3 linked regions of the Xenopus tropicalis genome follow. The main gene of each other region encodes a partner of the protein of the gene in region 2 in a complex. Links are inferred from orthologs where the notes say so. Each region holds a gene or a part of one and is shown on either strand. Other genes may lie near its edges. The genes, in order: ints6, ints4 and ints12.

Evidence for each region.
Region 1: ints4 (region 2) and ints6 share a complex: the UniProt entries of both Homo sapiens proteins name them as parts of the integrator complex. The link is inferred for Xenopus tropicalis from reciprocal best matches to the Homo sapiens genes INTS4 and INTS6.
Region 3: ints4 (region 2) and ints12 share a complex: the UniProt entries of both Homo sapiens proteins name them as parts of the integrator complex. The link is inferred for Xenopus tropicalis from reciprocal best matches to the Homo sapiens genes INTS4 and INTS12.

Annotation. Positions count from the first base shown.
Region 1 is NC_030678.2:149,895,594-149,899,247, reverse strand, and holds part of ints6 (integrator complex subunit 6), read left to right. Parts: intron 1-55; coding exon 56-239; intron 240-793; coding exon 794-919; intron 920-2,024; coding exon 2,025-2,179; intron 2,180-3,654. UniProt on the Homo sapiens protein: Component of the integrator complex, a multiprotein complex that terminates RNA polymerase II (Pol II) transcription in the promoter-proximal region of genes.
Region 2 is NC_030678.2:168,913,553-168,917,206, reverse strand, and holds part of ints4 (integrator complex subunit 4), read left to right. Parts: coding exon 1-6; intron 7-1,005; coding exon 1,006-1,211; intron 1,212-1,466; coding exon 1,467-1,609; intron 1,610-1,723; coding exon 1,724-1,839; intron 1,840-3,063; coding exon 3,064-3,197; intron 3,198-3,476; coding exon 3,477-3,634; intron 3,635-3,654. UniProt on the Homo sapiens protein: Component of the integrator complex, a multiprotein complex that terminates RNA polymerase II (Pol II) transcription in the promoter-proximal region of genes.
Region 3 is NC_030677.2:72,498,344-72,501,891, forward strand, and holds part of ints12 (integrator complex subunit 12), read left to right. Parts: intron 1-1,326; coding exon 1,327-1,514; intron 1,515-2,338; coding exon 2,339-2,498; intron 2,499-3,258; coding exon 3,259-3,414; intron 3,415-3,548. UniProt on the Homo sapiens protein: Component of the integrator complex, a multiprotein complex that terminates RNA polymerase II (Pol II) transcription in the promoter-proximal region of genes.

The sequences.
Region 1 (3,654 bases), about 19 Mb from region 2:
TGTACAACCCTGCAGTCCTTTCCTGTAAATGTTTTACTCCTTGTCTCTTATTTAGCTCCACTTGCCTTTGATTTCTCCGTTACCTGGCAGTGAACTGACAAAAGAGCCATTTCGCTGGGATCAGAGACTTTTTGCTCTGGTGCTTCGTCTGCCTGGAGCATCATCGGTAGAGCAAGAGCAGCCAACCGCCGTTCAGTTTGATGAGTCCCCTATTACTGCCATGTGTGATGTGACTGGAGGTAGGTCCATGTATGATTACTGAGTCAAGCACTGCGCAAAGTGTGTCTGTGTGCTTCCATGAATAGTGGTAGTTTTGTCATTGTTCTGGAATCCATTCCCATCTTAGACTTAACAGATCCCAAATGGACTGCTAGTGTCTCTTGTCAGCACATAAATGAGCATCAGCAGCTTGCTTTCTCTCATATGGGGTATCAGCTAGACAGACAAATCAGTGCTATCTAGCTGTCCATTTGCATTGCAGTGTAGTCAGAAAACCGTTCAGTCAGTCCATGCATGACTCCCTTTAGTCTCCAAAGATCCCAAAAAAATTCTAATGTAATGTTTAATATACCAAATTGAAGTGTGTGCTTAAGAAGTCACACACAACTGATTGTACAGTATGTGCTGCTATTCTTTTTTTGTCATCGGTGTGTATATTTGTATCCATATAGATGAAATATAATTTAATATAATAACTGCACTTGACTGGTTTACATCTGTGATGCAGGGCCCAAAGGAAACTGACAATGCCAATTTTCCTGCTTAAGGTTGAAGATATTTGATTTCTTTCTAGGGCGATCATATAGTGTTACTTCACAACGCATTCTTAACCAGTGTCTAGAGTCGTTGGTGCAAAAGATTCAAAGTGGAGTAGTGATTAACTTTGAAAAGTCTGGACCAGATCCTCCAATTCTAGAGGGTAACTACAGTTCTGTTAACATTTGTATCCTTTTTGATTGTGTTCTAACAAATAAACTTGAACTCAATGCATGTGTCTTTCTCAACAACATGGGTGTAACTATAGAGGTAAATGACCCTGCAACTTTTTGGGTGCCTAGGAACTCTAGGGGACAAAGTGGGACTTTGACTGATAAGGAGGTGCAATATATGTTAAGGGAAATGTCTTTTTTTCGAAAGTTTAGTGGCTCAGTGATCTTGCTGCAGGGCCCAGTTACTCGCCATTCCACTGCCGAAAAGGGTAGGAGATTCAGTAAATAGATCCCAATATAGAAAGTGCTGCTTTCTTGCCAGCTGTGGAGATTAAGGAGGCTTTGTGAATCTTTTTATTTATCTATTATTTCAAACTCCCACTTCCTGTGGGATAAAGGGTATATTCAAAATATGACTTGTGAAATCCTATAGTTGTCTGGTTACGTTGTTGTTCAGTGTAACCAATGTATGACCTTGGTGTTGGCACTGTAAGTACTGTTTCTGTGTTTGCTTATGATATAAAGTTGTGCTAAATATGAACCAAACAAGATGTTTCCGTTGTGATTTGAATATATCAGTGGAGTGCTTGGCTAGATGGAAAGTCATGTTCCAAAGAGATAAAAAATACACACAAGGTTATGGACAAAAACTGGATTTATTGTAGGTGCAAACCTAGGCTTGATTGGTTCAAGGGAACAAAATAATAAATCCCATGTTAGACTCTGCTTAATTGAACAGTGTGGTTATGGGAGCCAGTTCACCTTTCCTTCTCCTTGATGTAGGATGCTTTTATTAGTAATGACATTTAATTTTTTTTAATCATTTTTTAAATTTTAACAAATTCCGAATATGCACTTTCCTTCAGGGAGTGACATTTTATCTTTAGCATAGAATCTTTTATAATTGTTTATGTCTTTTGCCTGTAGTCACATGCCAGGGTAAGTAGGTCAGCAATATGCTGGCAGCCATCCATGCTTGGGGGTACCAACTAGGCTAGGGCCTGCTACTTACATTTATGGCTAGCCAAATGTTTGGCTAGGAATGGAATTATTAAAATGTTCAACATTAATAAAAACATTATTTGTTCCTTTCAGATGGACCTACAGACCCAGTCAGATCAGTTGGATCCCAACCCTGGCACAGCTGTCGCAAACTCATATATGTTAGGCCCAATCCAAAAGCAGGCGTCCCTCTAGGTCACTGGCCTATTCCAGAATCCTTTTGGCCAGATCAGAATTCTCCAACATTAGTAAGTAATTAGATTATACATATCTATTTTAGACCTGTGGTTATTCAGATATACAAAACTGCTGATACTGATTTCCCAATATGAGTGAAAGTAAGGCTGATGTCCCACAAAGCGTTGTAGTCGGTTTATCCCCTTCCCCTATGCAGATGGCCAGTGTTTTAGTTGTCCTCACAGTACAAAGTAAGACTATATTGCAGGTATTGGACCTCTCATCTGGAAACCCATTATCCAGAAAGTTCCGAATTACAGAAAGGCCATCTCCCATAGACTCTATTTTAATCAAATAATTCACATTTGTTAAAATGGTTTCCTTTTTCTCTATAATAATAAAACCGTAGCTTGTACTTGATCCCAACTAAGATATAATTAATCCTTATTGGAGCCAAAACAATAACACTGGGTTTAATTACTGTTTAAATAATTATTTAGTAGACTTAAGGTAAGAGATCCAAATTACGGAAAGACCCCTTATCCGGAAAACCCCAGGTCCCGGGCATTCTGGATAACTGGTCCCATACCTGTAGTATAATTTAATAGTATATACATAGTAGCTCTTCTAAACCCTTGTACCAACTGCTATACTGTTGGATGGTCCTATCTCAATAATGTTAATGGCCATCACATGGCTTCGGTATTCCAAAGTCATGCGAAGTTTCAATTTCTTGCAACTTTAGTTTAGAAGAGCTGGTCTGTATATGGCCATCTGCATAGGGGAAGGGGATCTATATTAGCTGGGGAGTTACAGTAAAGTTGTGGTTATAAGTGTACCAAGGCAAGATTAATTGAAAATAGTCATTTTCATTGCTGATTAATTAGTATGCTGTGGGCCATGTCTTTCCCTAATTGGCCTTCAGCCACTTCAAGGCCTCCCAAGGGAACCAGCCGCACCGTTTGGGAACCTTCATATTAGGGCCAGGGCACACAGAGCATTGGCTCTGCTGCCCTCAACTTACGTTTATTTTTTCAGGCTGAGGGAAGCGGATTTGCTCCCTTCCTCAGCTCTGTTGATCTGCACTTTAGGCACACTCAGCGGAGCACAGCGAAGAACGGCCCTGAAACATGAAAGCAGGCATTTTTGGGCCAACCTCCACTCTCGCTTGTGTGCAGGCACAGGCAGCAAAGCTGTACTTTTAACTGCAGATCAATGGAGCTGGGGTAGGGAGTGTATCTGCCCTAAACTGATGTCACTTGGGAAAGCTAACTCCCATTTTTCTGAGTGAGAGCTGTCCAGTATTAAAAGGGCATGTGTGTATGAGGGAAAACATTAAATACCTGCTTATCTGCCAACATATGAACCATGTTTTGATTGAAAAATAGTATTTCAGAGTATTTAAGGGCCCAAGATGTACATACAGACCCCTTTCCTTCTGGTTTAAAAAAAATGTTATTCTTGACGCAGTGCATATGTGTGTCTAATACCGTAACAGTTATAGACATTAAGTTACAACTGCCCTAATGCCCAGCTCAGTAGAATC
Region 2 (3,654 bases):
TGTATGGTAATGTCCCATATTCCGCTGGATGCAACAAAGTTTATTCTCAGATGGGCAGGTCATGGGAAAGCCCCATACATAGGCCAGTAATGGTCTGGTGTTGCCCAGTCAGCTTTTGTTGGCCTATGTATGGCCACCTTTACACTACAGTTAGCAGCCAAGGTAACATAGTTAGGTTGAAAAACGTCCATCAAGTTAAATCTTAATGCCTATATATAACCTGGCAAAGAGGAAGGCAAAAAGCCCTTCTGAAGCTAATTTGCCGCAGAGGGGGAAAAAAATCCTTCCTGACTCCAAGATGGCAATCGGACCAGTCCCTGGATCAATTTGTACTAAGATCTATCTCCCATAACCCTGTATTCCCTCAATTTGCTAAAAAGCCATCCAGCCCCTTCTTGAAGTTATATAATGTATCTGCCAGTACTACTGGTTCAGGGAGGGAATTCCACAACTTCACAGCTCTCACTGTAACAAACCCTTTCCGAATATTTAGACAGAACCTCCTTTCTGCTAATCGGAGTGGGTGCTTTTGTGTCAGTTGGAAGGACCTACTGGTAAATAAAGCATTAGAGAGGTTATTCTATGATCCCCTTATATATTTATACATAGTTATCATGTCCCCACTTAAGCGCCTCTTCTCCAGTGTAAACAGACCCAACTGGGCCAGTCTTTCCCCATAACTGAGACTTTCCATACCCTTTACCAGCTTAGTTGCCCTTCTCTGGACCCTCTCTAACTCAATAATGTCCCGTTTGAGCACTGGAGACCAAAACTGAACAGCATATTCTAGATGGGGCCTTACCAGCGCTCTGTAAAGGGGAAGAATAACCCCCTCCTCCCGTGAATCTATACCCCTTTTAATACAAGTTGACTCCCTGTTTTATTCCTTAAGTAGCTCCTTATGTGTTATTTGTAATACTAATGGACAGCAACATTAACATTTCTCTAAAAATCCAGCTATCTGTGTACTCCTACCTAACCTAACCTCTTGTGGCTTATTTCCAGAGGTGAGGATTGCTGCTGTGGAGTCCTTGTGCCTGCTGGCCCGCTCCTCCGCTCCTTTCGCTGAGAAATGCTTGGATTTCCTGGTGGACATGTTTAACGACGAGATTGAGGAGGTACGCCTGCAGTCCATCCACACCATGCGCAAGATCTCGGACAATATCACCCTGCGAGAAGATCAGCTGGACACAGTGCTGGCCGTGCTGGAGGTGAGAAACTTCTAGAAACTTCATTTTCTAAGGGCTTCCTGGCAAGCCTTAAATTCAGTGCTGATGTTATGTGGTAATGTTTAAAGATTAGAACAAGTGTAGCAGTTTTTTAGGGGGTCGGGGAGGGGGGGGCATTGAAGTAACTACAAAGTTCTCTGGGAGTATTTAAAATAATAAATGGTCATTCTTATAGTTTGGCCTTTAGACTGAAGTATGCTTTTGGTGCCATGTATCTCACAACACTATGTTCTGCAGGATTCTTCCCGAGATATCCGGGAGGCCCTTCATGAGCTGCTCTGCTGCACAAACGTTTCCACCAAGGAGTGTATCCAGTTGGCTCTGGTTGAACTGTTGAAGAACCTCTCCAAATACCCCACCGACCGGGAGTCCATTTGGAAGTAAGTATGGAGGTCCATGCTGAGTAGCTTGAAATAGGTCGTTCTAGTCAGATTTTGCTCATTGCCAAGGTCTCCCTGACAAGCTCGGCCTAAGGCATTTTTGTTATGTTTCAGGTGTTTAAAGTTCCTTGGGAGCCGACACCCCACCCTGGTGTTGTCTCTCGTCCCAGAGCTCCTAAGCACCCACCCTTTTTTCGATACACCAGAGCCTGACATGGATGACCCAGCCTGTATCCTTCTTTTGCTCAGTGACTTGGTGTGTGTGACAGGGGGGAAGGGCGGAATGATAATACTTGTTGGGGGCATCCTTAATGGAGAAGGATCTGGGGGTTTTCTGTAGATAACAAGTTGTCTAATTCCTGGCAGTGTCATTCTGTGGCTACTAAAGCAAATAAAGTGCTGTCTTGTATAAAAAAGGGCATTCACTGAAGGGATGAAAACATCATTTTGCCCCTTTATAGGTCCCTGGTAAGGCCTCACCTTGAGTATGGGGGGCAGGTTTGGGCTCCAGTCCTTAAGAAGGATATTAATGAGCTGGAGAGAGTGCAGAGACTGCAAATTAACTGCTAAAGGGGATGGAAGGTTTAAGCTATGAGGTGAGACTGTCGAGGTTGGGGTTGTTTTCTTTGGACATGCGAGGGGACATGATTACTCTGTACAAATACATTAGAGGGGATTATAGGCAGATAGGGGGTGTTGTGTTTTCCCATAAAAGCGATCAACGCACCAGAGGCCCCCCCTTTAGATTAGAGGAATGGAGCTTCCATTTGAAGCAGCGTAGGTGTTTTTTAACAGTGAGGGCAGTGAGGTTGGGGAATGCCCTTCCTAGAGATGGGGTAATGGCAGACTCTGTTAATGCCTCTAAGAGGGGCCTGGATGAGTTCTTGAACAAGTATAGTATCCAAAGCTATTGTGATACTAATATCTACAGTTAGTATTAGTGGCTGTGTATGTAGTTTATGTATGTGAGTGTATAGATAGGTAAGTATAGGGTGTGAGTGCTGGGTTTACTTGGAAGGGTTGAACTTGATGGACTCCTTTTTTCAACCCTATGTAACTATGAGAGGTCTTGGTTTAACTAAGTTTGGAGACATTGCGGCAATACCTGTTTCCATGGATCCTGCATTTTGCCACTAGGTGGAGCTTGCAGTGGCAACTAATATTTATTCCCTATAAGTTATGGCTTGGGTTATAAACATGTAAATGGATAAAGGTAACTCCAAACAATATGTGGAAATCTTTGGAGGGAAAACAATATTTTGTCTTAAAGAAGAAGAAAAGTCTGAATCACTGGGGGTTGTCAAATGGTGATTGTAATCACTTACCTGATACCCCTGGGTAGTGCTCCTTTGAGCAGAAAACTGCAACAAACGTAACTGAGACTTTCCTTCTCCCTTTAAATGATTCTTCATTCCTAAGCTTTGCTTACATTGGATCTTAACATTGCTCTCCAGACATTGCAGTTCTGGTTCTGATATTCAATGCTGCCAAATGCTGCCCCACCATGCCGGCTCTGTTCTCGGACCACACTTTCCGCCATTATGCCTACTTACGGGACAGCCTGTCCCACCTTGTTCCTGCTCTTAATGTGAGTGTCATAGGCACAGTGCTGATATATTAGATTGTTTAATCTGATTGTAGGTTCTGCCAAATTTATGGGGCTTTAATTTTTGTGTATGATGAATTTCCATAGAAATGAAATTCTGACCCCCAGTTACTGTTGCTTTTAACTGTTACTTTTAAAATGTTCATTCTGTACAGAGAATCTGTATTGTACAGCAAGCAGTATGGCAGCTCCCACTTCTAATGTACAGTATGACTGATAAAACCTCACCATTATGCCATGTTTCTCTGTGTTTCTCCTCAGTTGCCAAGTGTGAGGTGGTCTTGGGTCCCAGATGTGGTCACAGAGGCCCCTCCTGAGGATCCTTCCCAGCAGTTCCTTCAGCTCAGCTTAGAACGGGTGCAGAATCTCCAGCACCTCGGCTCACAGGGGACACAGGAGCTGCTGGAATTCACCATTCGGTAACTAATGTGTAATTGTA
Region 3 (3,548 bases), on a different chromosome or scaffold from region 2:
ACTTTGTGTTCGTCTGTGCAATGACTTAAGGTGCGGTCCCCGATTCGACTGAATTTTCTAACCTGCCCGATCGATATCTGCCCATTTTCAGGCCAGATATCTGTCGGGCAGGCCCCTCGTTTCTGCCCCTACATGGGCCGATAAGCTGCTGAATCGGTCCAAGGGACCAATATCGGCAGCTACTATCGGCCCGTGTATGGGGACCTTAAAAGTGAGTGTTTTATTGTGAGTGAATGTCTTCATTTCTTTGTTTCTTCCAAACTTGAGTTTTTAGCCATTTCGATTCAGTACTGCCTGATCTGTCAAAACTGCATTAGTGCTGTGTTTTATGCATATACACATATATTCTGCAGGTTCTGCAGCTTTTAGGTGTCAAACTTTTTCTAATTCAAGAAAGACCGCTAGGGGAAAAATGCCTCGGCTAAAGAGTTTTTTTCCCACGAAACCCCCCTTGAGTTCCTTAACTCGTGGGGTTTCCTTTGTGATTACACGAGGTAAAAGGCTCAAGCAGTCATAAATCGGCCCCTAATTGTTGAGGTCTGTGGCAAACAAGGCGTTTCCTCACTATCAAATTGTGAGATCACCATTGTTTACTTTCCATTGATATCAATGCAATGCACATAAAGTAGATCTGGCTCATATGTCATAACAACAGATGTGCAAGGGTTAATTTTGGTGGCTTCTTATTACTCAACAAGAAGCCGTGCCCCCTGTTTGTGTCATTGATGAGAAACTTTTTGTGCCAGGCTGACTGTGCTTTTTTCTTATTTATAGCTCTTTACAATTTTTTCCAGAACGCAGTCTATTGTTCACTTTAGGGCAGTTGTCATGGTCACACAGGACAGAATATTTTCTTTTGAAATGTAGCACTTTTGCAACATGCACTGTGGAATTATCTAGTCTCCTATAGCAATATATCACTATAAAATTTCACTAGTATTCAGGTTCTACCAAGAGTGTGTAGAACTTTATCTCTGAATTTTCACCAGGGGTATGTATAGCCCCTCAGATACGCTAAGGTGAAAATTGTATCAAAATCACCTGTGCGCTAGTATTTGAAGCAAGTCCCATTGCTAGGCAACTGGGCAATTTCAGTCATTTTCAGTTGCTTTTTCAGTGGGGGGGAAACTGCAGCAGGCAAACGGCTACATTTTTTGTCGTTGGTTTTAGTTTTATATATAGATTTTTATACAATATAATTAGCCAACACAATATGTGGCCATATGCAGTTCAGGCTGGTTCTTATTGCTAGGTTGCTAAAATGTTTGTATTATGTAGAGTATCGCACTGTTATGCAGTCAATTCTGTATTTGTTTGGGCTGACAGATGAAAGTGGAAATCAGTGATGTTATGGATATTCCAAAGAAGCCTCGTATAGAGAAGACAGAAGCTCGTTCTTCCCCTGTCACAGTACAGTTAAGCAAGGATTTGCCTGTGCCAGATCTCTCAAGCTTTGACGAGACCAGTGCTGATGATTTTGCCATGGAGATGGGGTTGGCTTGTGTTGTTTGTCGGTAAGTGTTTATTTCCCTCAGACCTTCTATGTCTGTGTGTTTGAAAAGAATTAATGGGCTAAAAGTAGAAGGCTTCTGACACACTCAGCTTTGGTTTAGCATTCAGCCAGAATACCTATACATTTCTGTGTGATGACCAACCGAATTCTGGCTTCCATATTATTTATGGTGCTTAACTCCTTTAAGCACCCCATCTTCCATTTTCTCTCTATTGTCTTTTCATTTCCTTCTAGAAATTATTAATCTCATCTTCATCTTGATTTTTTTCTTTATAAATCTGATATTCTCCTATATCACCACTATCATGAACCATCTACAGCAATCTGTTTATCTTATTAACTTACAACACAGACAGATACCCTCTGTACAATAACTTCCTTTTTTTTCTCGTTTTGAAACAATTTCATAAGAAGATTTAAACCTAAGGGCTCTGGCACACGGGGAGATTAGTCGCCCGCGGCAAAACTCCCTGTTCGCGGGCGACTAATCTCCCCGAGTTGCCTACCCCTGCCATCCCACCGGCGAACATGTAAGTCGCCGGCGGGATGGCAGATGCGGCGGGGCGATTTGCGTGAAATCGTGCCGCCTCGTCTGCCATCCCGCTGGCGACTTACATGTTCATGTACATTTGTTGTTGACCATGATTTTGTTTATTAATAATTAGCTTATCTTAGTGCTGCAAAATATAGTATTTTCTATGATAATGTTATGAAGCTGACATATGAATCAGAAGTTATGCCTAAATATCTGGAACGGCTAATATCTGGTCTTTGCTAGATTTCTAAAATGTGAAATTTAATGTCACCTTTTTTCATTGATTTTAGACAAATGACTGTGTTCTCCGGCAATCAGCTGGTTGAATGCCAGGAGTGCCACAATCTGTACCATCAGGACTGCCACAAACCACAGGTCACAGATAAAGATGTGAATGACCCACGGTTGGTGTGGTATTGTGCTCGCTGCACAAGGCAAATGAAAAGAATGGTAAGTCTTTGAGGTACAGGTGGTAATGGTCCCGAAAAAGTGGAATTGATTAGCAGTAGATAGAAAGTTGTGATATTCAAGGACTGGAGCAAGATGAGCAAGTTGTAATCTTAAGTGCAATTTCAAGCACAAGTCGCCATGTTTTTTCTGACATAATGTTTTCCCAGAATTTCAGTGTAATTGTGGTCATGAGAGGGCGATGCACCCGGTGCAATTGTGGCTGAAGTGTCTAACGTAACATAATTGCTCTTGCACTTTGATGCAAATCTTGATTATATTGCATTGAAATTTTGAGTTCCGATGGGGTCACTTCTGCCCTTCACAGTTAAAATGTTGGTGTGCGATTCTTAAGATGCAATGGGTTTATTTATCAATTTTTAAATTTGTCAATTTGAGACTTTTTCTAATTCAAATAAACTCACATTTCGAATGCTCGCAAATTTATTAATATGGAAAACTAATTAATCTCTCCCCATGTGCTGCGGCAGTTGACACAGGCCACTGTGGGAGCCCTGGAGCTACCTCCTGGTTCAGAGGTGGTGGTAGATGCAGGGTTCACCTGTGTCAGTGTTCGAACCCTGATAAAAGAAGACCACTGTATTTTTCTTTGTTTGAACCCCATACACAATGGGCAAGTTAGCAGCTAAAGTTGGTTTATGTATAGCCACCTTAAATTATACTGTGTGTTTAGAGGTTATAAATATCCAGTTTGTAGTTAAGGTGCTACTCTTATAGATCATGTCTTTCATTCTAACCAAAGGCACAAAAGAATCAGAAACCCTCACAGAAGCCATCCCCATCAGCTGTATCTGCAGTGACACCTGTAGCAAAGGATCCCTCTGTTAATAAACCTGAGCTGAAAGCTAAGCCCGATTCTGCAAATACATTCTTAGCTTTCAAGAGAGCAGAAGTTAAGGTATGTTTTTATAGACTTTTATTGCTCCTTAAAGTGAATCTTTCATAAACATTTATTATTATATCTATTATCAAACTTGTCTCATAAGTAATGAGATGTTTGCATAGTATGTTTGTTGTGTTATGGTAATACAT